4 linked regions of the Caenorhabditis elegans genome follow. The gene in region 2 interacts genetically with the main gene of each other region. Each region holds a gene or a part of one and is shown on either strand. Other genes may lie near its edges. The genes, in order: mel-11, clk-2, F56D2.3 and rpl-3.

What was found.
Region 1: changes in clk-2 (region 2) and mel-11 together harm fitness more than expected from each alone (negative genetic interaction), as found in Caenorhabditis elegans (one large-scale study listed by BioGRID).
Region 3: changes in clk-2 (region 2) and F56D2.3 together harm fitness more than expected from each alone (negative genetic interaction), as found in Caenorhabditis elegans (one large-scale study listed by BioGRID).
Region 4: changes in clk-2 (region 2) and rpl-3 together harm fitness more than expected from each alone (negative genetic interaction), as found in Caenorhabditis elegans (one large-scale study listed by BioGRID).

What each region holds. Positions count from the first base shown.
Region 1 is NC_003280.10:9,355,971-9,363,675, forward strand, and holds the start of mel-11 (cGMP-dependent protein kinase interacting domain-containing protein), read left to right. Parts: upstream 1-2,560; 5' UTR 2,561-2,563; coding exon 2,564-2,644; intron 2,645-3,954; coding exon 3,955-4,155; intron 4,156-4,719; coding exon 4,720-5,274; intron 5,275-5,678; coding exon 5,679-5,896; intron 5,897-6,073; coding exon 6,074-6,403; intron 6,404-6,997; coding exon 6,998-7,181; intron 7,182-7,239; coding exon of another isoform or gene 7,240-7,248; coding exon 7,249-7,385; intron 7,386-7,705.
Region 2 is NC_003281.10:7,513,404-7,521,860, reverse strand, and holds clk-2 (Telomere length regulation protein clk-2), read left to right. Parts: upstream 1-3,336; coding exon 3,337-3,492; intron 3,493-3,543; coding exon 3,544-3,751; intron 3,752-3,802; coding exon 3,803-3,936; intron 3,937-3,983; coding exon 3,984-4,316; intron 4,317-4,367; coding exon 4,368-4,520; intron 4,521-4,569; coding exon 4,570-4,673; intron 4,674-4,717; coding exon 4,718-5,882; intron 5,883-5,988; coding exon 5,989-6,083; intron 6,084-6,132; coding exon 6,133-6,238; intron 6,239-6,284; coding exon 6,285-6,464; 3' UTR 6,465-6,639; downstream 6,640-8,457. Other genes in the region: lig-4 (DNA ligase IV), read right to left, coding at 1-218, 271-391; C07H6.2 (E3 ubiquitin-protein ligase PPP1R11), read right to left, coding at 529-852; akap-17A (RRM domain-containing protein), read left to right, coding at 1,164-1,286, 1,337-1,699, 1,754-1,912, 1,959-2,084, 2,263-2,378, 2,421-2,505, 2,556-2,934, 2,987-3,123; cls-1 (Protein CLASP-1), read right to left, coding at 6,695-6,760, 6,805-7,287, 7,511-7,868, 7,974-8,143, 8,220-8,457. UniProt on the Caenorhabditis elegans protein: DNA damage checkpoint protein required for DNA damage-induced cell cycle arrest and apoptosis, thereby playing a role in genome stability. Regulator of telomere length.
Region 3 is NC_003281.10:5,581,899-5,589,237, reverse strand, and holds F56D2.3 (DUF148 domain-containing protein), read right to left. Parts: upstream 4,292-7,339; 5' UTR 4,177-4,291; coding exon 4,054-4,176; intron 3,600-4,053; coding exon 3,475-3,599; intron 3,330-3,474; coding exon 3,125-3,329; intron 3,078-3,124; coding exon 2,848-3,077; intron 2,634-2,847; coding exon 2,453-2,633; 3' UTR 2,128-2,452; downstream 1-2,127. Other genes in the region: F56D2.2 (RBR-type E3 ubiquitin transferase), read right to left, coding at 177-380, 429-813, 862-960, 1,009-1,100, 1,148-1,261, 1,310-1,462, 1,514-1,792, 1,847-1,975; uev-2 (UBC core domain-containing protein), read right to left, coding at 5,025-5,211, 5,352-5,502, 5,595-5,682, 5,724-5,843, 5,951-6,097; F56D2.8 (DUF4440 domain-containing protein), read left to right, coding at 6,827-7,004, 7,050-7,225, 7,303-7,339.
Region 4 is NC_003281.10:3,864,219-3,871,156, forward strand, and holds rpl-3 (Large ribosomal subunit protein uL3), read left to right. Parts: upstream 1-3,635; 5' UTR 3,636-3,644; coding exon 3,645-4,009; exon of another isoform or gene 4,010-4,011; intron 4,012-4,110; exon of another isoform or gene 4,111-4,226; coding exon 4,227-4,362; exon of another isoform or gene 4,363-4,364; intron 4,365-4,410; coding exon 4,411-4,851; exon of another isoform or gene 4,852-4,853; intron 4,854-4,986; coding exon 4,987-5,250; 3' UTR 5,251-5,369; downstream 5,370-6,938. Other genes in the region: acs-19 (Acetyl-coenzyme A synthetase), read left to right, coding at 287-346, 397-1,107, 1,232-1,347, 1,406-1,732, 1,784-2,612; tir-1 (ADP-ribosyl cyclase/cyclic ADP-ribose hydrolase), read right to left, coding at 5,965-6,059, 6,108-6,225, 6,382-6,938. UniProt on the Caenorhabditis elegans protein: The L3 protein is a component of the large subunit of cytoplasmic ribosomes.

The sequences.
Region 1 (7,705 bases), on a different chromosome or scaffold from region 2:
CACCTGCTCGCGAATGATTAAAAAGAGCCAGCTGTTTTAACAGAATAATATACAGTAATAAGGATTTATTGAAATCTTTACCTTTTGGATTTCCGCCTGTCACTTCTTATAGACTGTAAAATTAACTTCCGTTGTTCATCCCTTTTCCGGTATAGATTCACACCTAGATACGAGACTTTCGGAGTCTCACAAGAAAGATCAATATCTTTGGCAATGGTTGAGTACACGAAAAGAACGCTTTGATCAGACAGTTATACACAAAGTTAGGTGATCTGATCAGTGTGCACTTGTACTCACAACTTCTCGAGACTCTATTATAGATGAACGTAGATGTTTGCTCATTCAATTTATGTGTGTTTTTTCACTTCAAAGAGTGCACACATAATTTATGTATTACACACACGTTCTTTGTATTCTATCTAGCTGCCCTGGGAAGTGTATCTCTAGTTTATGACATTCTGATGCTCGCCTGTGGCTTTGAGTACTCACGGTGACTGGGCCGTAAAGTTGATACGATTTCAAAACAAAACATTTTAGGTTTTTCTAACTTATTACATGCTTTTTCAATGATTGTTCTTTTGTACCTCATTTTTGAAGTGTTCTTGCGTGGGCAGTAAATACCATCTTGACCTGGTTCTTAAAAAACCGCAAATCGTTGACAAGTGCTAATAGTTGTCTCTTTCTCTCTATTTACAACCATTTTTTGTGTGATGCTGCTACCGAGATTTTTCAAGAGTTCCAAGAGCTTATTAGTAAGCGCTAACCATCACCACGACCACCAAGCAGCACAACAGGTTAAGGATGATGATGAATAAGAGAACGGTGAGAGGAGGATCGGGAGAAGGATGATGGGAAGAGAGGGCAACCAGCCAACTGCCGCTGTGTGTATAATGATGCGGGAAAAGAGAACAGAGCGAGAGAGTCGAAATATATTGAGCGGTGTTTAATAGACGCAGACACGCCGCGTGCAGGCGGAAAGTTTCAAGTACGTCCCTCCCGGTCTCTTTCTCTTGGATGATGGTGTATCTGCGTCTCGAATCACTAATTCTCTCTTTCTGTCTATATCGTTGAAAATAGAGAGAGAGAGAACGACCTATCCATCGACTTGTCGCCCCTAATCCCGGGGGCACTGTTCCATTTTTTCTCTGGAATTAGTTCAATGTGTCCGTTACTCGAAAATTGTTTTTTAATTTCTCATTTTCTGAACATTGAACCTAGATTTTTTAAACAATGAATTTTTAATTTAAATGCCATAGCCAATGTTTTATATTAACATTGATTGCAAAAAAAAAAGAAATGTTTCTTTCCAAAAATATAACATTTCTTTTGAAATATAAACATTGATTGGCAATTTTCAAAAATTTTAAGCGTTTTTTACAGAAATGCCTTGCCTTTTTCAATTATTTTTCCAAATTTGTTTAGTTAGTCTTCAATGACTCACCGCAAACTTTTTTTAGAAACTTTGGAAACTCTAAATATTTCATTTTATAAAATTTTTGAACATAGATATTTTACACCAATATTTTTAGAAAACAAATTGCACCGGAAATAGTGCCCAATTTCATAATATTTGTTCTCCGGTGTATCCACAATCCAAAACCACCTTTATCACATCACTTTATCTAATTCTCTAAGCCTTTTCTGATCTTCACTGCCTCACTATTTTCACCCACTTGCCGCACTTTTCAATGGATGAGTGGGAGTTGTATTGATTAGTATTATATTTATATATCCTTAAGGATATATTTTTAATGGCGGAGTCCATGGATAGTTTGCTTAAAATTATTGAAAATTGGTCCTAATGAACGAATATATATATTTAAAAATGGTTTTAAATTATTTATAAATTTGAAGTTTGAAATTTTTTTTTTCAGTTTTGCCAAAAAATTCAAATTGCACATTTTTGTTGCAAAATTAAAAAAAATTTAGAACCATTTATAAGTGTTTTATAATTATATACGGTATTCGATTTTTCGATTTTTGGTTTTTTATTTAACAAGAACGTTGCATTTTTTAGATTTTTTTTTTTAGAAAAACCCGTAAATTTTTTGATTTTTTGGTATTTCGGAAAACCGAAAAACCGGCAGATTTCGAAAATTCGGGTATTCACATTCCAAGATTTATACGCAAAAGCTATGAAACTTTAGTCAAAAGATTAATCGAATAGTTGTGGTCTCATATTTCAAAAGAAGGATGAACCGGGAAATGAGTGAACGTTAAAGTAGTGGTGGTGGGATATGAAGAGTAATTGACTTGGAGGTGGTCGAATACGCGGAATAAGTCTCCGGTTTCAGTCACACGCTAAACTGGTCATTTCTTGTGGGTGTCTGTGTGTGAATACGAGTCATTTTTCCCAAGCTTCATCGTTTGATCTATTTTTTCTCGTTTCCAAAACCATAATATTTTTACAAAATACTTTATATATTTTTTGGAATTTCTACCCATTATTGTATCAATGAAACGAACGTCATTTGTATCACTTTTCTCATCGTTCTTTGCTTTTCTGATTGAACCTATCTCAAACAACAACATTTTTTACTAAAAAAATTTCATATTTTGCAGAATGGGTCAAGATGACGAGGACGATGCGCATATGCTGCAAGCAAAGCAGCAAATCACTTTTAATGTTGTGAATAAGAGAAAGGTGAGCTTTTTTCAAAAGTTTGAAAACAAAATTCAACAAAAAAATAAATCTGTAATTTTTGCGAAAAAAAATTTGGTAAAAACCTCGTTTATCACAAATTAAAATAGTAAAATAAAACTAAAATTTTCTTCGTTTAAATTGAAGAAATTGTCTAAATTTATATTTAAATTTCAACATTATAAATTAAAAATCAGTTTGAAATTTCATTTTTGTTAAAAGTGATCTTCGAACTTTAAATATCAAATTTTTGGCCGACTTTCTTCGGTTTTTGCGCCAAAAGTACGGTACCCGGTCTCGACACGAAAGATTTCTGTTAAATGCGAAAAGTTATGCACCTTTAAAGGTTACTGTAACTTTCAAAAAGGAATTTTCATTTTTTTTTCCATAGTTTTCATAGTTGTCTTTTTTTGTTCAGTAAATTAATATATTTTCAAAAACGAAAAACGTTAAAAAAATCATGGAATTTCACAACAATAGTAGGTTGAAATTACAGTACTCTTTAAAGGCGCAAGCCTTTTTGCATTAAACATAAATGAATCGTTTCGAGACCGGGGACCCGTTTTTTGACGTGAAAATCTTTAAAAAATTTCATCTGCTTAATTTTCCAGTTTGAAGCTTGTTCAGTTTTTTTGTAGTTTTTTTTTTCGAATTAAAAATTTGAGAAATTTAAAATTATTCTAGAGAAAGTTTCTGAAAACACCTTGCTCTCTATGATTTTTTGTCTGAACCGTCGTTCTTCCTTCATTTTCCATGTTTCCTCCTCCACCCCCGTTCTCCATTTTTCCTGCCATTTTCCATACAAACACATTGACAATAAAAGTGAGTCAGCGGGCACAGGGACACGACGACGGCGACGACGACGACGTCTCTTTCGTCTCTTCTCCGGAAAAAAAACCACCAAAAGAGAACGTTTTTTGATCTTTTTTTGATAGTTTCCACAGGCTTCCGGTTGAACTTTTTTCTTATCAGTGTCAAGTTTTGACTCATTCTAATCGGACGATTATTCGTTTTATTTTTTTCCATTTGCTTTGAAACTTTTTCTCTTGATCATTCAAAAATTAATTTCTAAAAAAAATTACAAACCAGTAGGTATTTAGTGAACAAAAAAAAAACGACAATCACGACCGAAATCCAGTCGTTTATACTTGTTAATCAATTGTGCAAACAGGTGCAAACACAATTTGTGAGCTCTCTCGGCGTGTGCCAACTTTTACTCTTTTTTACGCCGAGGGTTCGAAGTTTAAACATTCAATAAATTTAATATTTTTTAAACAAAAAAAACCATTTATTTGTAATTTTTAAATTTTCAGGATCAATTGCGCCGTTGGCAGAGCAGCGAGATGAACGCAGAAGCAGCTCGGCGAACGAAACGTCCAAAAGTACAATTTCAAGACAGTGATATTTTTCTGTCGGCATGTATGTCTGGAGATGAAGAAGAAGTTGAAGAACTGTTGAACAAGGGTGCCAATATTAATACTTGTACAGTTGACGGGTTGACCGCATTGCATCAGGTGAGATTTGCATTTATTATTGACAATTTGGTACTTGTATCGTCCATATGTGAAGTTTCGTGAATTTTGTTTAAAAAAATACGATACCCGGTCTCGAGGTGAACCTAAAGGAGTACTGTAGTTTTTCTACAGTTTCTTCAAAATTGCACATGTTTTTCAATAAAAGTTAAACAAACGTTTGAAAACGTATGAAACATCGAGGAAAATCCTGCAACAACAGAGAGCAGGGCTGGAGCAACGAAATTACAAAAAAAAATGAAATTGATAAAAACAAAACGAATTTAATTTGGAATTTATTTTAGAAAACAACCTTAACTTTTTCTGGAAATAAAAGTTCAAAAATAAATTTTAAAAAAATTCTTTTTGAATCCTTAAAAAACACATTTTTCGTAAAAAAAAAGTTCTTTAAAAACAGCTACAGTACTCCTTTAAGGCGCACAATATTTTAAATTTGGTGCTTCGAGACCGTACTTTTGAAACAAATCGCAACGTTTTGCATATGGATAGAACATTGAAAAATTGAAATATTGCATAAACAAAACATTCGAAATTGAATATTTTCAGTCGGTAATTGATTCAAAACCCGAAATGGTTCGATTTCTTTGTGAAAAAGGAGCCGATGTGAATGCACAAGATAATGAAGGATGGACACCTCTTCACGCAGCTGCATGTTGTGGAAATGTGGCAATAGTCAGATATTTGTGTCAACATGGAGCCGATCTCTCAATAGTTAATAGTGATAAAGAGTTAGCACTTGATCTTGCAGTAGATGAACAATGTCGTGATTATCTTGACGATGATTACAAGCGACAAATGATTGATCTCGATGCTTGTAGAGATCAAGAACTTCAGACAATGTTGAAAGATGTGAATATGTGGATGAGTCAGGGAGAATATCGAGATATTCCTCACCACAGAACAGGTGGAACTGCAATGCATGTAGCTGCTGGGCGAGGATACACACAATTACTCGAATTACTTATCAAAGCGGGTGGAAATGTACGGGCACAGGATGTCGAAGGATGGACTCCGTTGCATGCGGCTGCACATTGGGCTGAACGAGATGCATGTAAAATATTATTGGAAAATGGAGCGGAATTATCGGATCTAACGTTTACGGTAGGGGTTTACAGTTTTTCTGTTGCGGTTTTCAAGACCTGGCGCCTGCTTGAAACCTACCAGCCACTCGCCTATTTTCTGTATTCTGGCGTGAATTTTCAAATTTCTTATCTTCGAATTTCAATTCGATGAAAATCAAATTTAAAAAATAAATGAGGAAGGCAGAGGTCGCCTTAATTAAGCCAGGCAGGCGTTTCGACGCCGACATGGAAGTCCTATCAAAGAAAAACGACAACAAAACTGAATTTAAAAACATTTGTCATACCAAAATATGTTTTTTCAAAGATAAAAAATATTATTTACTGAAAAAATGTACAAACTTTATTTTTATCAAAAGTATATAAATTCACACCAATTGCTTTAAATTTTTTTAAATTTTTATTTAAAAAAAAAACAATTTTCAGGGTGCTGACGTTCTTGGAGTAGCTGATAAAGAATGCATCGATTATCTTGTCGAGTTGGCTGACACTGTGAAAGTACAGAACAAGCGAAAATCACCGGGTAGTGGCTCCCAGCCACCAACTTCAATACTTCAGGAGAAGAATCATAGAATGCCGTCACACGAGGAACATGTTCTGACAAGTGAACGGAAACGAGATTTACAGCATAAGGATCAGCATAGGTGGGGGTTTAGAAATTAATAATTTGAAAATTTAATATTGGAAAGTTTTATTGGGAAAAATCTGAATCAGAATTTCCTCAAAAAAATATTTTAAAAACATTGCATGTTCACCCTCAATTATTCCACTATATCCTATCGCTTCTCTATTTTTTTGTCTATTTTTTTATATTTCTCCAGTGAAAACGAGTTTCTTCACTCGCATCCATCCACTGCATCAGTTGGCTCGACCACATCATCCAACACAAATACCACCACAACCACCATTGTTATCGGTGAAAATGATATTTCTGCTGCACAAAAAGATTCAAGAGAATCATCGAAAGAATCAGCTGTTGATGATGAAGAATATGTCGCAGAAGATGAAATGGAAGAAGCTGAAGAAGATGAAGAAGAAGAAGATGTTGAAGAAGAAGAGGAAGAAAAAAGTGAAGCTGAATTAAAAAATGGAAAAGAAATTTCACCGCTTCGATCGGAAACTACAAGTTCGAGGAGTATATCTATAACGAGGTGAGTGAGCAGGCTTTTGAGCTGGAAATTTATGTTTTCTCCTGCAATTTCCACCACCCTATGAGTTTGAAACTTCTCCCCTCTCATTCAGGGACACGTCTGCAAGCTTTTTATTTTCGAGAATTGCTCGTTTTAATTTCAAAAAAAAAACTGAATTTTGTTCTTAAACAGGTCACAATCAAACCTTTAAAAATCATTAAAATTCAAATTCAACTGAAAAGTGAATTTAAAAAATCTACTGATGTTGTTTCCTCGAAAATTCCATTTTGAGCAAGTACGTTATTACCTAGACGCGAAATTTTGTCATTTTGCGGTATTTTTTATATGAAAAACCGATAGAAATTCCTCAAAAAGGAGAGTTTGAAATTACAGTAGTCTTAAAAGGTGCACACCCATTTTCAATTTATAATAAAAATTGTCGTGACGAGACCGGGTACCGTATTTTTGGGCCAAAAATCGGAAAATTTCGCATATTTTTCTAAAATTCTTTAAGCAAATTTACTTTAAATATTATTTTTTAATAAAAAACATTTATTTTAAAATGTATCCTTTTCCTCTATAGAAAATGAAATATATTTCAAAATCATCATTCAGAAGTCTGGATGGATACACAGACCGCTCAAGTTCCGGCAGAGAAACTTCAGCCGAAATGAGCGAAGCAGCCTCGTCAGCCAGTACCGGAACGACGTCATCGTCGTCACGGTTCACATCATCAACTCCATCGTCACAAAGATCAGCAGCAGGTTCAGTGCATACAGAAACACCACGATCTTCGATGGTAAGTTCATTATTACTGACTTTTTTAAAAATTAAAATCAGTTCTTATCTCCTGCTAGCGTTTTAAGGAAAACTCATCATCAGTGGGAAGCGGTGATCAAAATGTCAGTGCAACGATACCGATTGTTCCATTATCAGCTCCACCGAAAGCAGTTCATCAGAGCCCGAGCTCATGGATTAATAGAGGAGTTCCTCTGTCTTCAAGGTATCCATATTTGATATGAATTCTAAGAAATTTAGTGATAGGACGTGTGAACTATTATGGGGTTATTCAAGTAGTGTCGGAAAATTAAAAAGTGTAGAAAAATTACGTCACAACTGTATTAAAATACATAAAAACATGTATTTTTATACATTTGTGACGTCACAAATGTATTTAAATACATTTTTCTACATAACTTGAATAAAACCCCATTAGAAAATATGATTTGCACAAAATATGACTATGCTTATTGTCACAATAAAAACAAAAAGAAGAAGAATATGCTGATGATTCATATTTTGTGTATTCAAGAAAGAAAGAAA
Region 2 (8,457 bases):
ATTTTCAGTTCTATATTCTTCAGAAATCTTTTCAGCCAACTGACGAGCTGCTGTTGATGCATCTTTCGAGATAGTTGATACGTAATCAGCCCTGACGTCGTGAAAAGTTTTTGCCATAAAGCTTGCCAACTTAGTCGGTCCCATGTCGAACTTTCTGAACCTCTCGTAATCCGAAACGAAGAACCGTATTATGACAAACATATCAGATGGATCAGAACCTGAATTTAAAAGAATAACGTCACATTGTAATAGTTCGCCCAATTGTCTTACACTTTTCTTTCCATGATTCAAAGTTTTTCTGAAAGGTTGCTTGCTTTGATTTCACATTTGAAGTCCGCCGAATCTTGTTGAAGACGTCAACTACTTCGTCGAAGATCACATCTGACGCCATGAAGATTCTTCAAAAATAATTTTATTGAACATCTATTCGGAATAACGAACGAAAATAAATAAACAAAAGTATGCACAAATTTGGGAAAGAGACGGACAATGAGGGGTAAAATGGGAAAAATCGATTATGAAATATGCTCAATTAGAGCTCTTCGGCTCTTCGTTCTTTTTGTGCTCGACGTGGCCACGACAATGACCGGTTTCACAATCCGAATCAGAATCCGAGCTTGAGTCTTGCCAATTTTTGGGCTTCTTGTAGATACAACAGCATTTGCTCTTCTTCTTGCCCATTCCTTCGTTATCCACTGTTTCGGTGGCCCAAACTACGTGTCGCCGTTCTGAAGTTGATGGCTGAGCTGGATTTGGACTAAGATGAAGCACCAAGTTCTGTTCTCGAGATGGAGGAACGGTGACAGTAGAGGTTTCAGTGCTTGAAGCAGTTTGTTGTTGAGTGTGGCTCATGTTCTGTAATTTAACAATATTTTTTTTTAATTGAACGAAAAATAGTGGAACAAAAAATAAGCCTGACAAATTCTCGTGAAATCAAGTAAACAGCAACAAAAATGTTTCATAATATTTTGTCCGAGTGGACTTCAAAAGACTGCATGGCCTAGAATCCAAATTCATTCCTCGTCCCCATGTGGTGAACTCCTCTCGGACAACTTATTCGAAGAACAATTTTTCATCGAATATTCGATCGAACTTCAATTTATATCGATGTTTCTTCTATTTTAGTGCAAATTTTAATCAAAAAAATTAAACCTTTTGTCAACATGGCGCGAAATTTTCCCACTGCTCTCGATTACCTGGGATCAGAAGCTGAAGATTTTAACAAGGCGCAACACTTGTATCTGAAACCGATGGCTGTTATAAAAATTACCGTAGTGCTGCCTCGGGTACGTTTTTTTAACTATCATAATTACATCGATTTATTATTTAATTGTAGATGACGATCCCGGGACAATCAATATCTAATTGGGATCTCATGGAAAGACTAAAACGTGCAATTGATCCAATTCAAATGGATTCTTGCAAAGTTCGTGAGAGCAATATCGACAGTGTTATTTTTGAAGCGGAACTTCTTTCGCTAGGAATCATGCAGAAAACGATGAAGATTCTCGATGGATTCTCTATGAAAGTGTCTGGATTTGCTGAGCCCTTGAAAGTTAAAACAAAAGAGGCAAAGCTTGATTTTCCAAGTCGTCATGATTGGGATGATTGGTTTATGAAACATAAGATGGACGAGATGAAACCCGGAGAACGTCCTGATACAGTTTATTTGGCAAGAATTCCAGTGAAATGGTTCTGCGTACGTTGCTCCATAACATTGCATTCGAATTTATTTCACCAAACACATTTTTAGGATGGTTACAATGATCTTCCTTCTGAACGACGTCTTCGCGTTGCAATGGAAGCGTTCGGATCTGTTAGAGTTGTCGACATTCCAATTTGTGACCCACTCCGATCTCGAATGAATTCAAAAATCTCTGGTATTCAGCAAAAAGGTTTCGGATTAGGGCAGGTATCGCAGTGTTTTATTTGTAAAATCAAACGAATTGAATTTTTAGGATGTATTTTTTGAAGCATATGTGCAATTTATGGAGTATAAAGGTTTCGCCACTGCCATGGATTCCCTGAGAAATCGTAAATGGGCAAAACGAATTGATGGACGGTTCTTTCAGGCTAATGTCAAGGTATAGTAGGGTAGTAGAGTTAGTTTGCAATTTTGAAAAATCTATCACATTATTTCTAAACGTTCAATATCAATTTTAAAAATTGCATATTCTTCGCTGAAACGAATCACCTCGTGCCACTCTACAGGTTAGTTAATTTCCCAGAATTAAGGTTGAGAAATAGCTTAAAATTTCATAGGTGGATTTCGATCGATCACGTCATCTCAGCGAAGTTCAAATTGCAAAGCGAGCGGAAGAACGACGTCAAATTGAAACGGAACGACTGCGGCAAGAAGAAGAGGAGTTGAATATCAAGTTTGTTGATGCTACAATTTTAAAAATAACTCACCTCTTCAGACGTCAAGAAGAACTGAAAGTTAAACAAGAACTCGATGATAAAGATAGAAGACGAGAAGATAGAGAACGGAAACGCCGCGAAAAGGTTCACTTGAAACGTTTCAAAAAATCATAATAAAACATACGAAATTTCAGAGGGAACTCGAACGAATGGCTGAAGAAGAGAAAAAACGCCTTGAAAAGGAACGACTTGAAGCAGAGCAACGATCACGAGCCACTCGCCGTTTGCAAGGTGTTCGTCTTTTGAAGTTTCTGTTTGAAAAAATTGAAGCACGAGAAGAGAGACGAAAGAGAAAAGAAGAAGAAAAGTTGAAAGATGAGCTGAGCAAAATCAAAGAACTTGAAGAACAACCTGTAGAACAAGAAGACGCATTGAGGCAAGCTCTACTTCAGCAGAGGGAAATTCGAATGCGAGAACGCTTGAAAGAGAAGATGAAAGCTTCAGGAGCAGAGAAGGATAAGAAGAGAGATAAAAATAAGACTTCTAGAAGAAGACGAACTAATAGACATGACAGTGAGTTACCTTAAAATTATTGTCTATTTTTTAATTAAACTTTTTTTTTCAGCTTCATCCTCTTCATCCGAAGATTCTGATTCTCCATCTGATTCTCCCCACTCTCGTCGACAAAGAAAACGTCAAAGTGAAGGAGATGATTTCCGGAGACATCATCATCGGGAGAAAAGTAGAAAACGTGGATCCTAAGAAAACGCGGATCCTATTTTTGTTTCCTATTATTTTACCGGTAATTTCACTTTTTTTAAAACATATTTTTTGATTTTTTTTTCAGAATCTCAATAAACGTATTTACCTCTATTTTTTCTCGTGCATTATTAAACCCTAACCTGGTTTAATTTACTACTCCACGTTCAATTACCTTTCCTGAACGCGAGCTTCGCATTAAAAACAAATTTTCAGATGAATTTACGAAGTCGCCTGGTAAATGCCACGGAACGTGCTGTGCTTTTTCAAATTTTCAAAGATGTGCAGAATGATCCGGAAAAGTACGACAATGCAGTTGAGGCGATCTGTGAATCAATCGACTATTTTGGCAAATTTTTGACCGATAGCGAGGTATTGTCCTGAATTCAATATTTGTGTAATGTTTTATATTTCTAATTGTAGTATCTTACACAAATCAAGCCGATTCTTGATACACAGTGCCCAACAAAGTCGATAATTTGCTTCTCGAAATGTTTGACAAAAGTGAGCACAGATATAAATACTACCACATTTCGAGATGTGATCACCATGCTCGACTGGTTGAAGTATGTCGTTGAAAAATCGCTGACAAGTGCTATTTGTAGCAGTCTGAAAGTTAAAGAAACTGATGGTATGTGATCAAAAATAATTATTCTTCAACTGAGGATTTTTGTTTTTTCAGTCAGTGCAGTTCAGTTGTATCGAGAATTCGCATCAGCATGTTCAAATATTCCGGAGAAAGTTTCGAATTGTTGTGCAAAGGCATTGTCTGGCGAGCATGTCAAATATATCAACACGGTTAAGTGGATATTCAAAGTGGGTTTATAAGTGAAATATCGAGATAGATAACTTCAATTTTCCAGATGAATCTGGTGCAAGGAATTCAAAAGGCTATGCTTCTTGCTCACGACGACATTGTAACTGCTGCCCCGTTCACTTCATTCTACGGATCCGGTGGTCCTTATATGAAGACTGTCGCAGAAATTATTTCATCTGGAAGAAACATAGATATCACCAACAAGGATGGGCTTCTAGTTCAAATGATTGAATGGATTGGTTCACTAAACAATTTTGATTCTCAATGGCGTCGGATGATGTTTCTCATCTTCCAAGAGCCCACATATCAGGGAATTCAAGTTCATGAATCACTACTGACAACATTGTTCCTAATTTCGAAAAGTGACCAAATCTTGAAAGTTAGTGGTTAAAATATAGTTGATTATATGAAAACCAGTAGTTTCTTTCAGCGATGTATCGAAGCCACTGATCTGACTGGAACACTGAAGCGTGTAGTGATGGTTAAGCTCCCGTTTCAGCGAGTTCTCAAACGAAAGACCATCGAGATTCTTATCAATTTTGTTTATCGAACTAAGGAACAATTTGCCATCCAGCTATTAGAGGTAGGGTTTTGAATCTATATTTTCCGTATTTAGCGAAGTTTTTTTCCAGACTTCTGTGAAAATCTGGAGTGATCTCAATTACGCAAAAAGTGCTCCAGAATCACAAGAACGACACATAGTCAGAATGATATTATACTTGGTTCATCTTTTCAGGTAACAAATATATTAAGAACTACAGTAATAACCTGTCCTTTTAGAACATGTTCTTCAATCGATTGGGAGTCACTCTTCCTGAACTCTATGGATGGAGTTCATTGTCGAATGAGCATGTTGCCTATGTACGTCCAAAGTGGTATTTTTGTTAATCAAGCACTGTGCAAGCAAGCGACAAAGCATCGATCGAAAACGCACGGATCAGATGAGCAACCTCCAGAGACTCTAGAAGAAAACAAATTCGTTTCAAGTGAAGTGGGAAAAATATGGTTTGAAGAGATGACGTCAATTTTGGAACATGGATTTAATTCTTCTACAGTGAAAGATTCTGAGCGAGTTCGAGAAACCGCCAACGAAATAACCAAAGACGATTCGGGTGAAGAATTTGAAGAAACCAATGCACAGCGTCTTCAAAACAACAAAGATTCGGCAGCAATCACATCGAAAAACAATCTACGTTTAGATTCTGATGATGACGAAGACTTTCCTGACTATCAAGTTAATGAATCAGAAAAGATCTTCAAGAATTTAGAAATTGGAGAAGAACCGAAAAATAAAGTGACACCTCCAGCATACATTGCAGATGCTTTCGAAATGCTATTAGAGAAAGAAAAATACGAGGTTTTTGAAGCAGCTTTCTTTAATATTACGAATTTGATCAATCGCCGGCCAATTGGATTTCCACAAATCGCTGAGAAGTTGTTCATCCGAATCCTCCATCTTCAAAACAATTTTGGAACGCCTAAATTCAAGGAAACTGTTGATGAAATTGCAGTTGCATGTATCACTCAGCGTCCAGAAATTGTCCCATCTGTAGTGCGTCTGATCATTGCACCAGGTCAAGGTTTCAGTATCAAACAACGTCTTCTTCATTACATTCACAATGCTGCTGATGGAATGGGTGCATTGGATAAGAAACTTGAAGAGTGTGTAATGGCGCAACAATTGAGAATTGGTGGTCCAACGTTAAGTATTATTCTTCATCGAACTATAAACACTGATTATGACGATGAGGATGAAGATCCCCACAGACTTTTAGTTCCTGAATGGCGACGAATGGTGGATGCTCGCATTGCTGCAAATACCAGAAGAATTGGAACGACGCGAGAGCCACCAAGAGCCGGAGTTGTCAATCGTCTCGCACAAGCTGCCAAATATATGTTTTATCCTTTGTTGGTTTTGCCACGTGGTGAGAACGCAAGTCTTTTGGTGAGTACATATGTTTCACAACTTGTCAATTCCTAGTTTATTACGTGTTTTATCTTAGCAATTTTAGAATTTAAACGTCTGATTACTCTAACTAGAAACATTTCAGGGCAAGGACTCCGATCTACTCGCCTCACTCATCATGGTTGCATCGATGGTTTATGTGAGATGTGGCGTATGTCCTCAAATTCATCGAATGTCAAGGTATACCTTTTAACAAGGTTGTGTACAAATTAGTTTTCCTGAATTTCAGTGAGCTTATATCATATGCAACGCCTCATCGATTCTCTGAAAACGCAAAACTACGGACTGCCTGCATCATTGCCCATCTGAATGTGACGACTTTGTTGCCTGGAGATGTTAGTTTGAAAATCAATTTTATTTGATGTTTAACCAAATATTCAGCTTATGGATGAACTGTTTGATGTACCGGCACTTATTGGATGGTTTGATTGGGCCAATTCTGTACTGGTTAATGCATCTTCATCACAATTGGAAAAGGATATGACTCGCCAGTTTGGTCATAGTGTTACAAAACACCTTCAACGTTATCATCCAGCTGTACTGCAACACCAAGACGTTTAAATAGTTACTATTCACTTGTTTTCCTTCTTTTCAAGTACTGTATCATTTCTTACTATCTTGCCAACACTTTGATCTCTACCTCGTTCACTTCTTGCTTTGCCACCCGTTGATATCACCTGTCTCATTCATTTATCAGCATGTTCATAATATCAAAAATAAAATCTTATCAAATGTATTTTACAAAACTGATTGAGTTGACCCGCTTGTTGAAACATTCCGGCTCTTGTGTTCTAGTTAGACGATGCTCCTGATTCGGATGACTTGGCGCGGCCCACGTACAGGTCAATTAGGTTCAGCTGAAAATCGAATGTCTCTTCAAGAAATTTAGTTAAATCCTTACTTTACTGGCATTTAAAGTTCTCAAGTGTGGCTCCATTCTTTGCATTCCAACTCTCTGAACCAGGGCGACTAATCCGAAAACTGCACATTTTCTTACTGTAGATGACATTGATTCGTAGGCAGTGACAAAACATGGTGCAACGTCATTGACAATTAAGTGTAACTCCTCAATATCAATATCTTGGAACATTCTCGTCAACATTTTCAGAATCAGAACACCACGTTGATCATCATCATCTTGACTCAAAATTCGCCTGGAGATCAGAACGACACGCGTAAGAGGCAGATGAGAAGCCAGGATTCGAAGACAATCTTCTGCTGCAACACCCATCGTGTTGTCATCAGATGTACATGCACATTGAAGAACTTTCGAAATTGCAATTTCTGTTGAATCGAACAACTTTGTCGCTTGAGCTGTGCACATTTTCTGAAGAATTCGGAGAGCAAGCTTCTTGCGAATCGATTGTGAGAATGTAGAAAGAATCTGAAATATAAATCTGTTTTTTTAAACAGTAACTTTGCCAACAGGTTCATGTACGCCTTCAATACAGGCGCAAAACCTAACTATATGCCTACAAGACATTGACTTGGAGATGATGTATTTTGCCCGGAAGACTATTTTAACTCGGTCAGAGCGGTAATCTTCTTCACGTCAAAGTAGGCGTTTGTATTCTTCAGGGTAAGTCTCTTATTACTGTCACAATTACCTGATAGATAGAATCCAGCAATTCGTCGAAAAATTGGTTCCAAAGAGTGAAAGAACCTTCACACATCATTCCATGAAGATTCGCCATCGCTTCGTTCAATTTATCAGCCTTCTCGAAATCTCGAATTGCGTCCAATTGATTTCGAATGTAGGCAGCTTGATCCACATGATTTTTGGCAAGATGGGCGGTCGATGTTCGATAATCAGGCGGTGGTGGAGTTGAATACTGATTTTCTGTTGCGATCCTCTCGGTTTGAGAATACTCTTTCCGTGTGGATTCATACGTTGAATAAGTGGTTTTCATGATTGGTTTCTCAATTTCTTCATTGTCCAATGGGCATGGTTTATAGTTGTTGTTGCTGCAAATATCAAGTATTCTCACTAAAACAGTATTTCTAACCCTCCAATCTAGCCTACATATTCATTTATTCTAGAATTATGCAATCCAATAATTACTATCTAACCTTATAAACCGTTCTTTTTCCTTTTCAATTGGCTTCTGGTTGTTCTGCTGACCATTCAACTGTAAAATTCGATAAGCCCAATCACGACATTCCGAAGGTAGCTCTCCGAAGATCATAGTGAAATCAGCAGCGTTGAGAGCAAACAAGGCACATACAAGACGTTCACATGCCTAAATTGAACAATAATTATTTTGAATATTTTATTTAGAGTATGTGTTAGAGAACAAAAAACGAAAAAAAACTAACTGGCATAAGAATAGCTCCAATTCTCGGATCAAACATCCATGCGAACATCTTCCGAATTGCAGCTCTTGTATACGGTGTATCGAGATGTGTTTGCCTCTCCAAACATCTCGGATCCTCTGGCCAAATCTCTTCGAAAAGCAGACAAATGTATTCCAGAAGAGCAAGTCTTGATTTTGGAGACAGTAAATGCACTGGATCACACATGAAATCACAGACAGCCTTCAGTTGAAATGTTGGG
Region 3 (7,339 bases), 1.9 Mb from region 2:
ATCCCTATTGCCCCTTGTCAAATTTTTTGATTGTTTCTATTTATTTTTTGTTTATTTCTTACCCCTTTCTTTTAATTCTATTTTCACTTTTAAATCAATCACCAAATCTAAAAGGATGAACTATTCATTTTATTTGACAATTAATCCGTAAATTTAGAGAAAACCGTAAAGTTATGTTAATTAAAGAAAAGCTCGTCAAAATGTCCTTCTTGCTCTAACCAATCCTCCGCATCAATATCTTCGTCGGATTCAGGATACTCGACGGTCTCATCACTGTCATAGTCACTACCGTCGTTAAATGCCATATCGAAAAGAAGATCGTCATCGTTATCTAGCAAATCGTGATGAACTCCTTCGAACAGACGTCCAGAGCATGATCCCTGAAAATGAAAAATACATTTCTTACACAATTCTAAGAAAAAACCAACATCTCCCTGAAAATGCTTATAAGGATCTTCCTTGTCAAGAGTTTCAGAGCACAACCAACAGAAGTAGGTGTCACACTTCGTACAGTGCATCTTGTGGCATCCTTCATTCTTCTCTATGCTCACCGAGCACTTGGGACACGGTTTGCTGTTCGAATCCAGCCATTCCTCATTGAGGAACCGCTCCACAAGCTCCTCGACACGCTTCTCTCCTCCAAATTGCCTGCACATTTCAGCCTTCTCAGCTTCATCTCCATCCTTCCATCTTTTGACAAGAAGCTCTTTGTCTCCTTTCTTCCATTTGCAGCGTTCTATTCCGTGGAATGTCTGCTTACACAGATTGCAGAACGAAAAGTTACAGTAGGAGCATTCGGCCAGGAAGCGTTGTCTGAAATGTTCTTCTTTTTTACATTTATTTTTATATTTTAAACTATACCTATCCGTGACGTAGGCGACTTTTTGACAATTCTCTCTGGGACACTCCACGGTGTCTTCCATCTCTCGAATCGCCTTCTCCAGCATAATCGTCTCGTATCTGGCGGAAATTCAAATTTGGATTTTTTTTTTTGGAAATGTATCTCACTTTGCATATAAATCATCTCCGAGTGCCTCCTTAACCGTATTTTGTTGTGCTTCACTCTTGCATCCTTCTGCTAGACACTGCATGGCTTTTGACTGTAAATGATCCAATTTTTCCAAAAAAAAAATCGATTGGATCTTACCACAACACCTTTCGATATTGTACGATAATAATCGAAAGTACATTGTTTGCAGAAAACGTGAGAGCACGGCTGGAATTTGATGCAATGTTGGCCCATTTGAGAGTCGTAGCATACCTGGAAGATTGAAAAAATAGTATAATTTTATAACTACGAAAAAATTACTTCACAATCGAAAAGTGTATTGACAAAGTGCTCTTCAGCAGCTTCTTCGCCTTTTCCAAGAATTTTCTTTTTCAGCGATTCAATAGTTTCTCCATTGTTTTTCAGCGCACACGCCTCGTTCAGATTGATGATTTTTAGGTGAGATTGGTCTATCTGAAACTTATTTTTATATATTTAATTTGTTAAAAAGAACAAAAAACTAACCGAATCAATTATCGTTTGATAGCACATAAAAAGCACCTCCATCATCTGGTTTTCCTCGCAAATCCTTGCCAACTCGGTTTCACAAGATGTCATTTGTTCCTGATTCATCCAATAACTTTCCAGTTCAAGTTTTGGTGATGATACTGAGGGATAATCATTTGGAAGATGAAATTTCAATCGGATTGGTGGAAGAATGTCTAGGGGGATGGAAAAATGATCGCTGGAGTCAGACGTTCCTTCAATTGTGACTTTTGGATCGGATAATGTGTCAAATCCTACCTGAAATCAAGAAAAAATTTAATAATAAACTTCTTTATACGCTCAATATTCTACTTCAATTATTCCCCGAATTTCTGCATTTTTATCCGCCCAATCACTGATTCTCGTCAATTTATTCTCCCTTAGCACACTCTCCAGTGCTTCTAGCTCGAATAACTGAGTTTCACGGCTGTCGTCTGACATCTGAAATTTAGTAGAAATTATTTTAACACAAACTAGAACAAGAAAAACTGGTATCGCGTTCAAAATGTTTAGAAATCTAGACTTTTTTAAAAGGGCAAAAAAACCGCTGAAAAAACATGCACCAAACGCGCTCCATCTGACAGAAACAAAGCGTGGATGTTCAAATTCCACTTTTTATTGGAAAGATACGAGTTTTCTAATATATTAGCGCAGAAAATCCCATATATTTATTATTTAAATAACACTGATAAACAATTGATATGCTGAGATTGATAACAACGATTTTGAATGGATTAAGGTTATATTTACAGAAGGCGAACTGAGCAGGTGAGCAAACGCCGAGCTGAAATCACTTGTATATACAGTCAGATAGCTCGTCGTTTCTGGGGATGGAGCACAAGGGAAAGACGTTGGGCAGTTGAGAAAATTAGACGTAAAATACACAAAAAGAAGAATTGCTCATAGAGCACAGATTATTTAAATTTCCACAGTTTTTCCATCTTCGGAAACTCGGATTTGACGAGCTTCAACCACTGCTTGAGTTGGTGCATTACGAGTCATTACTTCAACTTGAGAAGCCATTGATGGGTTTGCCCGATTAAGAGCCTCGGTTTGTCCTGGAGCTGGGAATGGAGCTTGAATTGGGGCAGGTGTTGATCTGAAAGATTTGAGATTTTTCGAAGAGAGCAATAGAGGAGAAACACAAAAATCGACTAAGCATCAATCAATTTTGATATGATTGAATTCTCCGAGAGTGTTACACGGATTGGAATCTTTTTAGGAATACCATGTAACGCCTGCTTCCTGCCTCCCATGCAACCTGCGCCTGCCTACATGCGCGTCTTGCCTACCATGAAAAACTCAATGCTCACCCCGAATCGTTCATAGCATTGAGCTCATTCTTAACGTTCTCTGGAGCCTTAAGCATAAGTTTGTCAAGTTTCTCCTGCTTCTTCTCTACACTCATTTTCTTGTTTTCCATAATTTTCTTGGCCTCTTTCTCAAGCTTCTTCGCCTGTTTGCTAAGCTCTGGAACTGGAGAGGAGACGGTCATCTTGTTGTTTTTCATGATCAGTCTTTTGTGAATATCAGCGAATTTGGACTGAAAAATGTTTGTGTTTGTTGAGAAAAAATTATTTATCTTCTTACCCTTATCTCATCACTCTCATTTGCTAGAACTCTTCGAATATGCATTTGCTTCTGCTCCATATTCATTCTCTGCTCTCCAATAATTTTCTTGATCCGATCCATGGTTTCGCGTTGGTTTTGACGCCAAAATCCCGGTTTGGCCCGTTCCATAGCTCGCTCGCGGTCAGTTTTCTCCATGGGCTCACCGAAGTTGGCTTCTCCAATTCTGAAGGAAAATCAAGATTATTTGTTGCTAAGGTACCGTCTAAAGTGAGTTTTGAATAGATTATCGTTGTAATCTGGCGCTACGGTCAGTTTTTTACTAAGTGGCCGCGAGGAGATAAAACTTGGCCACCTATTCCGGAACTTACCTTGCTCTCATATAACCAAATGGCCCAAAGTCAAATGGATGCTCCCGATGAAAATATCCTTGTGGTGGATTCATGTTGAAAGATGGTCGCCGACGTGGCTCTTGTGTTGGGATTGTTGGAAAACCCTGGAAAATGAATGTTCAGAATTTTCAATAAGGCTTGGTAGGCAGACTCGTTTTCATGAAAGCTTGCCTATTATTTTTTGGTTTTTTTTCTTGCTGGACTCTGGTGTTTGGTGTTGTTTTCATGAAATCTTCAGTCCTTGGTACCTACGTGCCTGTCTACACGCCTACTTTCAATGTGCACAATCTTGATACAAGCGTAGGTGAATGAAGGCAAGCAAGCAGGCGTTTGTGTTCTGATCTAGTTTCAATTAGAAAAATCTACACAACATACCGAAATGGTTGTGACCTTGTAATAATTAACCTTGGGATTTTCGCTACGTGGCCGCGGAAAGCAAAAAACTCGGCCACCGATTTTTTGGCTGACTTGTTGCAAAACAACTCAAAAACTATATTTTAGATGTGAAATCTCTGCCGAAACTGCCACTTAAAAATCCTACAAGCCAAGAAAACTCACATAATAAGCATTAACATAGTCTGGCATGGCAGCTCCCTCATTAGCATCTCCGTATAAAGTTCTCTTGTAGTAAAAGCCGTTGACAACCGCCGAAAATAGAGAAATCAAAAGAATACGTTTCATTTCCAACAACCGACTAGTACAAAAAAAGGAGTCAACTGTGCACGGTCGAGTGGAGTGGACAATGGTCAGCGAGGGGGATCGGGAGGCTCCGAGAGCACACTGTTTGGGAGTAAATAGAGACCTTTGACGGGAGGCGAGGAGGGGCGGTACCACACGATCTAGGCGCGCTCTCGGTGAACCGATAAACCTATACCGTTTCCGGCTTTTTACGTTTAAAACTTTTGGGTTAGAGCTCTCTCCGCGAGGCGATGAGCACACCATGAACAGTGCAGATATCTGACAAGGTGTGCGGGAGAAGTAAATATAGACATTGGGGATGAGGTAATGACGTGCAATCACGAGTATCACCTCTTTTTGAAGGGCATTGCGGTTCATTGCAACGTGGCCGAGAACAAGAAATCGGTGGCCGAGTTTTTTAAATCCTTAGTAGACTGGAGCTTAGTCAAGCATACCTCCCTGCCTACAAATGTTGACTACGTAGATTTATTCTTGTTCTGCCATTTCATTAAGAGATAATGGGAGGACACCCCGACTCAACGAGTTTGGAATAGCTTTATTTGGTACAATAATCACTTTTTTCGTAAAAAGACATGGTTTTGGAAAGAGAATGAAAAATTGGTGTGATCGGGAAAGTAGGGAAAATGGGAAAAATTATCACATAGGTCAGGTAAGTTTGCTGCAAAAAAGGGGCATTGGGATTTAAATAAATGTGTATAGAAAATTGGCACCTTTTTGGAGAAAAATCTGAAAAATTCCATAGAGTGTCGGCAAGAAAGTTTTGAGAAAGTGGAAAAGGTCTTCAACAGAAAACGTTGGCCAATACCAAAAATATAAAAATTTGTGTAATATTAGTTTTCGATGTCAATTGGTAGATCGTCATCATCCTCGTCCGATTCCATGGCACCATTTTGCACTGCCAACTTAGCCTTTGCTGTCTCCCTCTGAATTCCGGAATTCTCGGATACTTCCATGTATCCCACGGCGTTCGGGTTAACTGTCCAAGCATAAGCTCGAGCTTTAGCCTCGTAATTTTCACTGGAACAAGATAATTTTAAAAGTTAAGTGTTCTCTTTTCTCTGTTCAACGACGCTTAGCTCCAAATCGAAGTGGCCTAGAAGAATAGGTGGCCGAGTTTGTTCACATTTGCAGCTGTGCGCCGTTAAAATATATCTAACCGCTGATTCTCATATTCCATCCAGGCTTCAATATTTGCAGCTTGAGTAAGATCGGGCGTTGCAAGTAGATTGCTGATTTCCCTCAGAAGTTTCTTGAGTGAAGTTTCAGAAGACCAGTGCTCTTGTTCCAGCATTTTAAGATAAATTGATCCTGTAAAGATTTTTGTAATAATGCGTTTCTTTTTGCTACCGTTTTCTGTATTTCACACTCAAACATATTTTTTCGAAACAGTTCTAACCAACCTCTGAGGTCCACGTTCGGATGATGAAGCGGCGTTTTGAATTCACAAATTGGCGGAATTATAGGCCATTTGTGAAAGTTCACGGAAACCTGGAGATAATATACTTTTGCGAACTAAAAAGTAATTAAACCTCATATTCCCCTCCCTCCCAGGGGCTTCCTCTCGGTCCAGGTACTGTACATATCCAAGAACACCATATGTCTGCGCCCTCAAAACTAATTGGCTTTGCCGTATACCCTTGCGGTGTTCTCTGAAAAAAAGTTATTTCGACACATGCCACGCCCACTTTTGAAGTAGGCATAAATCAGGCCTAGGTCCCAGGTAGGCAGGCGAGTTAAACTTTGTGTGAAAGCTTACCTCATCCCACTTGGCTTTCTCCTCCTTCACAGTGTTGATTTCATTGGTGAATTCGCGTGAATTGGTTTCAACGTCGAATAATAGCGCATCGGCAGTTTCGCGAAAATATGAGAGATCAACATATTGTCTGTTGCTACGTCTTCGCATGTTTCTGAAAGCTTAAGCTCTAATCTGGAAAGTCAAAGTAATCCAATTCGTGACGAAGCTTCCGGAGCCGCGTTAACTGAACCTAAGCTGGATCTTATTTGAAAAAGCTACAGTGAATATATTCTTAAAGCGCACAAAACGTTGCATATTATCCCACGAGGCCTAAGGCAACCAGAAGCTTCAAACAAAAAGTGAAGAAGAGAGTATGAATACGTGGGATAATATCACAAGTTGAAGAAGAGGCAGGTACGAGAGAAAAAGAGCTACATAATCACACAGAAGCGGATGCCGTCTCTCTATCATTAGTACGTTGTCCTAGAGATGGCCTCTTTCTCTCTCGCGCCCTCTGTTTTAGAATTGAGCATGTAACAAAAACTACACGTGCTCTCAGATTATGTATGTGTGTGTGTGTGTGTGAGCTACTTGATTCCGACGGGTTGGAGGATTAAAGGTATATCTGATGTTGGGCACACTTTTAAACGTGGAATGACGCAACTCCTCTGCCACACACTGCACACGCTTTTTCATTCAGCTAAAATTTATCATGACGAGACCGGATACCGTACGCGGCAGAACCCATGTGGTGTCTTCAAAATGCCCAAAATGATCATGATCATCAATACGACACCAAACATCAACCTCCGCATTGATTGACAATTTTCACATTCTAATTGAATTAGCATTTCGAACTATAAAAATGCTCAGTTCGCCATGTAGCCAAACCAAAATATGCGTCTTCCAATTTTTCTTCTAGCTCTTTCAAGTGCTTCTATTGTCTTTTCATTGGATCCAGTCCCCGAAGAATATGCCAACGTACCGAAGGAGTTCTTCGAAAAGTTCCAGGCAGCTATCAAATCAGGGGACCCAGTTGCAGTAGTGGATCTTTTTGCTCCGGATGATATGCTTCGTAAGTACGATATCAGAAACAATTTTGAAATTTAGTTATTTTCAGCTGTCAGTGGCATGATTGAAGCGGCACAGGGAATCATCAAATCTTTTGAATCTTATCCGACCGGAATAATTGAACGAGTTCGCTACGAGTATGGAGTCATTCAGATTAATGTCAGATATTACCCCAACACGCCCCTTTTGTCCAAAAAAACGACTATTTTCAAGATAAAATACGAGGTAATCAGGGAGTTGGACTAAAATTTTATCCAGCCGCAATCACCAGAATAGATTTGTAGATAAATTTTAATTTGCAGAACAAATGGAAAGGCTGGACAATGGTGCACTTCAGTG
Region 4 (6,938 bases), 3.6 Mb from region 2:
CTGTTCAAACCGAATTTTAGGAGTAGTTTGAAATATAGAACGTGACTTTACTGGTAACAAATTGTGAGAAATCTAATAAATAGAAGAAAAAACGAAACGAAATTGTATTTCTCGCGTTGTGTTATTGAGTTTGTTTTCTCCAGTTTTCCTTTTTTTCTTTCTATTTTCTTTTCTTTTCCAAGTGTTTGTTCTTTGTCCTGCTCACGGTTTATGGTGCCATATTTCGCATGTTTTACCGCATTTTCTTATCATAAAGTGCCTCATTTTCAGGTTATTGCATCTCATCATGTCGGACGTTCGCGTCAAGTTCAACCTAGCCAACGATGGAGAAGGTCTCGACGAGGATGTAAGAATTTATTTCTTCGAAAGAATACTTTTAAAACCAATAGATTTCAGATTTTCCTCCCTCCAGCCCCACTCCTTGCCGGTGCTCACTGTGCTGGCCTTCAATCTTACCACGATTTGTACCGTTCCTCGATCAACGATGCTGACGAGTTCTGGCGTACCGTCTCATCTGAACTCCATTTCGAACAAGGAACCTCTAAGGGTCTCGAATGGAATTTCGACTCGAAAGCTGGAAATGTCTTCGTCAAGTTTATGGATGGAGCCAAGACTAACATCTCGTACAACTGTTTGGAAAGAAACATTAAACGTGGATATGGAAACAAAATCGCCTACATTTTCGAAGGAAACGAGCCAACCGACACCTCCACCTGGACATACAACGAGCTACACGCCCAAGTAGTCCAATTCTCCGCTGTTCTGAGATCTCATGGCGTCAAACGAGGCGATGTGGTTGCTTTATATCTTCCAATGATTCCCGAATTAGCAGTTGCAATGCTTGCGTGTGCCCGTATCGGAGCAATGCATTCTGTTGTTTTCGCTGGTTTCTCTGCCGAATCACTTGCCGCTCGTGTTGTCGACGCTCGCTGCAGAGTTTTGGTTACGGCGGACGGAGTTTTTCGAGGAGCTAAACCAATTGGGCTCAAGTCAATTGCGGATGCAGCTGCCGTTCTCGCATCGCAGGAAGATGTCAAAGTGGAAGCTATCATTATGGTGGAACACTTAAAACGAGTCACGAAGCCTGATGGAGTGGAACTTCCCAAGGTAACTAAATATAATAAATTTAATGCTCTAAAATGCTCAAAGTAGTCTCAAATTCAGAAAAACCAGAAAAAAATTAAGTTTTATTGATTTTTCATTTAAAATTACAACAAAAAACATTTTTCAGGTCGATTACACCGATATCACCGTCATCTACGATTCGGAGATGCTCAAGTGTGCAGGCGTGGATTCCCCGGTAGAATGGATGGATTCTGAAGATCCGCTATTTATTCTCTACACATCGTTAGTTCAGAATTAGAATTTACTTATTTCTCATTTAATTCAAATTGTTAATTTTCAGTGGCTCAACCGGAAAACCGAAAGGTATTCAACACACTACAGCTGGATACATGACGTACGCCTACGCAACCACAAAATACACTTTTGATGCACAAGAAGACGATGTTTACTGGTGTACTGCCGATTGTGGATGGATCACCGGACACTCGTACCTTCTTTATGGACCTTTGATGAATGGGCTCAAGGGAATTTGGTATGAAGGTGTGCCGACTTATCCGACTCCTTCTAGAATGTGGGATGTCACTGATAAGTATGGTGTGACCAAGCTGTATACCTCACCAACAGCCGCAAGAGCTCTTATGGCTCTCGGAAATCAGTGGCTTGAAAGGTAATAATTATTCAAAAATAATTGTTCAGCATCTTTATTTTTAATTTTCAGCTCTTCTCGCAAAACTCTCAAGGTTATCGGAACAGTTGGAGAGCCCATCAATCCTGCTGCATGGATGTGGTTGTACAAGCAAGTTGGACTTTCCAATGTATCCATTGTGGATACTTACTGGCAAACTGAAACTGGAGGACACATGATCACATGCCTTCCAGGAGCAACTCCAATGAAGCCAGGAGCAGCTGCAATGCCATTCTTCGGAGCATCTCCAGTTCTTTTGGATGCTGAAGGTCGTGTTATTGAAGGTCCGGGAGAAGGATCACTATGCTTTGATCGTGCCTGGCCTGGAATGATGCGTGGAATCTATGGAGATGAGCAACGCTTTGTCAAGACCTATTTGGCTCCATTCAATGGATACTATTTCACTGGAGATGGTGCCAGACGTGATGAAGATGGATACTTGTGGATAACTGGACGTGTTGATGATTTGATGAATGTCAGTGGTCATCTTCTGTCTACTGCTGAAATTGAATCAGCTCTTGTGGCTCATGAGAAAGTTGCTGAAGCTGCCGTTGTTGCTGCTCCACATGACATCAAGGGATCCTTCCCATACGCATTCGTCACTTTGAATGTTGGAGAGAGAATCAATGAAAAGCTTGTGGCTGAGCTCAAGAAACTAGTTCGCGAGAAAATTGGTGCATTGGCTGTTCCAGATGTTATCCAAGAAGCTCCAGGACTTCCAAAAACTCGTTCCGGCAAGGTTACCAGAAGAATCTTGAGAAAGATTGCTGAAGGATCCGAAAGTGGAATCGGTGATACTACTACTCTAGTCGACGAATCTGTCATCAAACAACTAATCTCTGGACGTTCTGCACGTGCATAAACGAACTTGAACAATTGTAAATCAATTCAATTCTTACTATTAATGTTACTTTTTCTGTATTACTTCTCTTTTCCCCCTCTATCGTTGTAATTTCTGCAGAATCAATGCAAGATCTAAACTTTTAACCCCAACATGACCTTCTTTGTAATCAAGATGCATTCCCTGATTGACTCCTGTGTAGAATTAAATTCCAGTGTTGTAATTTCCCCCAGTAATTTATTGAACCCTGAATTCGAAATTAGAAAACAAGTAAATGATTCAGAACTGATTAATTGTTTTAACTCAATTTCAGATTTTCAGATAACAATTTTGGCTTATTCGGATAATTAAAACACGAAACATGAAATTACAAGAAGAAGATTAAATACTTACATGGAGAAATGCATTTCATATGCCCAGTGAATCTGATGTTTAGCTCAATTTTTATGAATTATGATAAAAACCACGAAAGTTCAATACAAAATAATATTTGATTTAACTTGCATTGCAAAATTACAGGAAAATGAATTATTTTAAGCATAAAGTGTGTTGTTTTGATAGGCCGTTTGAACAAAGCAAATCGATTTTCTTGATTATATAATGATGCTTCAAAATAAAACTTGATTTACATGAATATTTCCCGTTAAAAAACAATGTATTTAAAAACATTATTATTTGCAGAATCTCTCCAACTGCGAAAGAAATCGAATTCAAACAACCGCGCTTGTCGTACACTTGTACACTCCGCCGCCACAGCTACGGTAAAAGCGTGTTTTGCGACGCACAAGTGTGCGCCGAGTGTGTGGGTCTCCCAACGCCTTTCACTGGCCTAAACTTCATTTCAATTTGTTTTAGCCTAAAATTTTCATGTTTTTTTCGAATAAATTTTGTTTTTTTACGTGCAATTCTAAATTTAAAATGTTCAAATTAGTATCTGTCTAGAAAAGTAGTTATTTAAAAAATTTTTTAACCGAAAACGCAATTTTTATTCTTTGTTCGCTCATGCTTTTTCTATAATTTTTTCGTAAAATTAATATTTTTCAGGGTACAACAATGTCTCACCGAAAGTTTTCGGCCCCGAGACATGGACACATGGGATTCACCCCAAAGAAGCGCTCCCGCACTTACCGTGGAAGAATCAAGGCTTTCCCAAAGGATGACAAGAGCAAGCCAATCCATTTGACCGCTTTCCTCGGATACAAGGCCGGTATGACCCATATCGTCCGTGATGTCGATAAGCCAGGATCAAAGGTTAACAAGAAGGAGGTTGTCGAAGCCGTCACCATCGTCGAGACCCCACCAATGGTTATTGCTGGAGTTACCGGATACGTCGACACCCCACAAGGACCACGTGCTCTTACCACCATCTGGGCCGAGCACTTGTCCGAGGAAGCTCGTCGTCGCTTCTACAGCAACTGGTTAGTTTATTTTTCAACTATTTCGTTTTTTGTATTCAGTGTTATGGTGCGTTTTTGGTGTCATTTGGTGGTTTCGTGATTACAAGTCTGTATTTGCAGTCGCGTTTCTAAGTCGGTTGCCTTCCGCTGTACTTATGTACATGATGGTAAACGAACTGAGTGGCTAAAGCGTCCTGTACGCTGAAAGGCATTTTGTTCGTAATCGTAGAAACTACAGGGCTAAATCCAAGAAGAAGGCTTTCACCAAGTACGCCAAGAAGTGGCAAGATGAGGATGGAAAGAAGCTCATCGAGGCTGATTTCGCCAAGCTGAAGAAGTACTGCTCTTCTATCCGTGTGATCGCTCACACTCAGGTAATATTTATATTTAGTTTGTTTGTATTCTTAAGTTATATTTTGCAGATGAAGATCCTTCGCCGTCGCCAAAAGAAGGCTCACCTCGTCGAAATCCAAGTCAACGGAGGAACCATCGAGCAGAAGGTCGACTGGGCTCGCGAGCATCTCGAGAAACAAGTCCAGGTTGATACCGTCTTCGCTCAGGATGAGATGATTGACACCATCGGAGTTACCAGAGGTCACGGATTCAAGGGAGTCACCAGCAGATGGCACACCAAGAAGCTTCCTCGCAAGACGCACAAGGGTCTCCGCAAGGTCGCCTGTATTGGAGCTTGGCATCCATCTCGTGTCGCCTTCACTGTCGCTCGTGCTGGACAAAAGGGATTCCATCACCGTACCATCATCAACAACAAGATCTACCGTATTGGAAAGTCTGCTCTCACTGAGGAAGGAAAGAACAACGGATCCACCGAGTTCGATCTTACCCAGAAGACCATCACCCCAATGGTTCGTTTTATTTTTTTCACCGTTCTATGAAGAAAAAGTCTGCAATTCGTACTCTGTATGGCGACTATATTTTATCTGAGAACATCGGGCGTTGTAATCAATTTTCATGAATTTTTAATAATTGTTTTGTTTTAGGGAGGATTCCCAAGATACGGTATCGTCAACCAGGACTACATCATGCTTCGTGGAGCCGTTCTCGGACCAAAGAAGCGTCTTATCACCCTCCGCAAGTCGCTCATCACCCAAACCAAGAGAGTCGCCCACGAGAAGATCAACCTCAAGTGGATCGACACCAGTTCCAAGACCGGACACGGTCGCTTCCAAACCACAGCCGAGAAGCGTGCTTTCATGGGAAAACTCAAGAGAGATTTCCTTGCCGAGGCCGAAGCTAAGGCTTAAATTTGTTTATTCAAATAAATTGTTATTGTTATCAAATGTTTCTTCACTGTTCACATTTTGAATACACTTTGAGTATGCTTTTTTGTTGAATCTGAAGGACTATGCTGCTTGTATTGAAGAATAATAATCCGAAACATTCATTAGGTATAACATTAGAAATCTGGAAGGGTGTTAGACCCGGTAATTGTTAAGATAAAAAGTTCAATTTAAAGAGGGAGTTAAAGGGTTCGAATTTGATGGGTTCCTGAGTTGGGGGTTGATCGACTATTACACGTTGCAGGAAATAAAACAGAAAAAGTGAAACGAATGAAACAGATGGAGATCGGAATATATAAACAGAAAGATTATAAGAAAGTGAAGTTTCAGAGTTTTCTTTTTGGTTTCATAAAGACATCAATCACATAATTTATAGAGATTATTACAATTATTATTATTATTTGCAGAAAACGGCAGGGCATTGGGTAAATGAGGAAGAGAGAGAGACAGTTGAAATCATAGATTCTACGCTTTGAATTTCCAGTTTTTTGTGGAACACTTTTTTTGAGGTTTTGACTGATTTAAAATGAGGGTCAAATACATTAAAACTTTCGTGTGGGATGATTGAAAGACATTGGGAGTTTGATATTTGATATTGGGATGGTTGAAGAAAATTGGTTTTTTGTTGGAAAATGGATAAAATGAACCGGCACTTGATGTATTGATTAAAGAAGAGACTTAATTCCGATCGGAAGTTGTGGATGCAGAAGGCTGAATTTTCCTTCTCGTCGATGTTGCACGTTCTTGTGATCCAGTTGGTGTAACTGAAAAGACTAAAAAAATTAAATAATATACCAAGTGACGATGTTTCAACAACTTACACGTTGGCGTAGGAGGTTCCATTCTTGGTCCACCGATGCTTCTGGATGGCCCAGTACGGCTTACTGTATTTGTGGTCTGCCACCGTTGTTGGGTAGTTTTTCGGGAGATAGAAGGCATCTGAAAATAAAAGATATAATTGATAAAACCTTCGAAAATCGAGCACATAAAGAGCTATAGTAGTCACTAAAGGAGGTACTGTAGTTTTCTTTGTTACCATTACGTATTCTCAAATTTTTGTGCTCGTGCAATATAATATTTTGTGAATAAACTCACTTCTTTGGTGGTCGGTGTCGTTCTGTTCAACTCTCCAGTAATAAAACGTACAACTTTTGCCATACATGCATCCTGATAGTCGTGAACCCATTTAACACCATTATACTTTGTAATCATTCGAATATCATTCGGAATTTGATCTTCTTTTGTTGGGAATTCGAATGCAGTATCAAAGATTGGAATAATGTTCTTCTGGTGTTCAAATGCACATTTCAGCTCTTTGTGCACCCAATCCTCACAGTTATCATCATTTAAAAGTCTATCCAAACTGTTTGGTGTGAGAACAAGGATGAAATGTTTGGCGGCTTGAATGTTCTTGAGCAATGAGCTGTCGAATTTTCCAGCATACAACTTATCGACATCAATGAACACTCTGTATCCGCGGAGTTGGAGGAGTACTTTAATGAGACTTGCGAGTTGGTTTCCTGTACTTCTTCTGTATGAAATGAAGACATCAATTTGCTTGGAGAGCATTGCAACTTCCACGTCATCCGGATGTTTTGCGGTTTCAAATGCTTGTGTCAACTTGAGTCGATGAATCGGGTTCGTGATTCCAC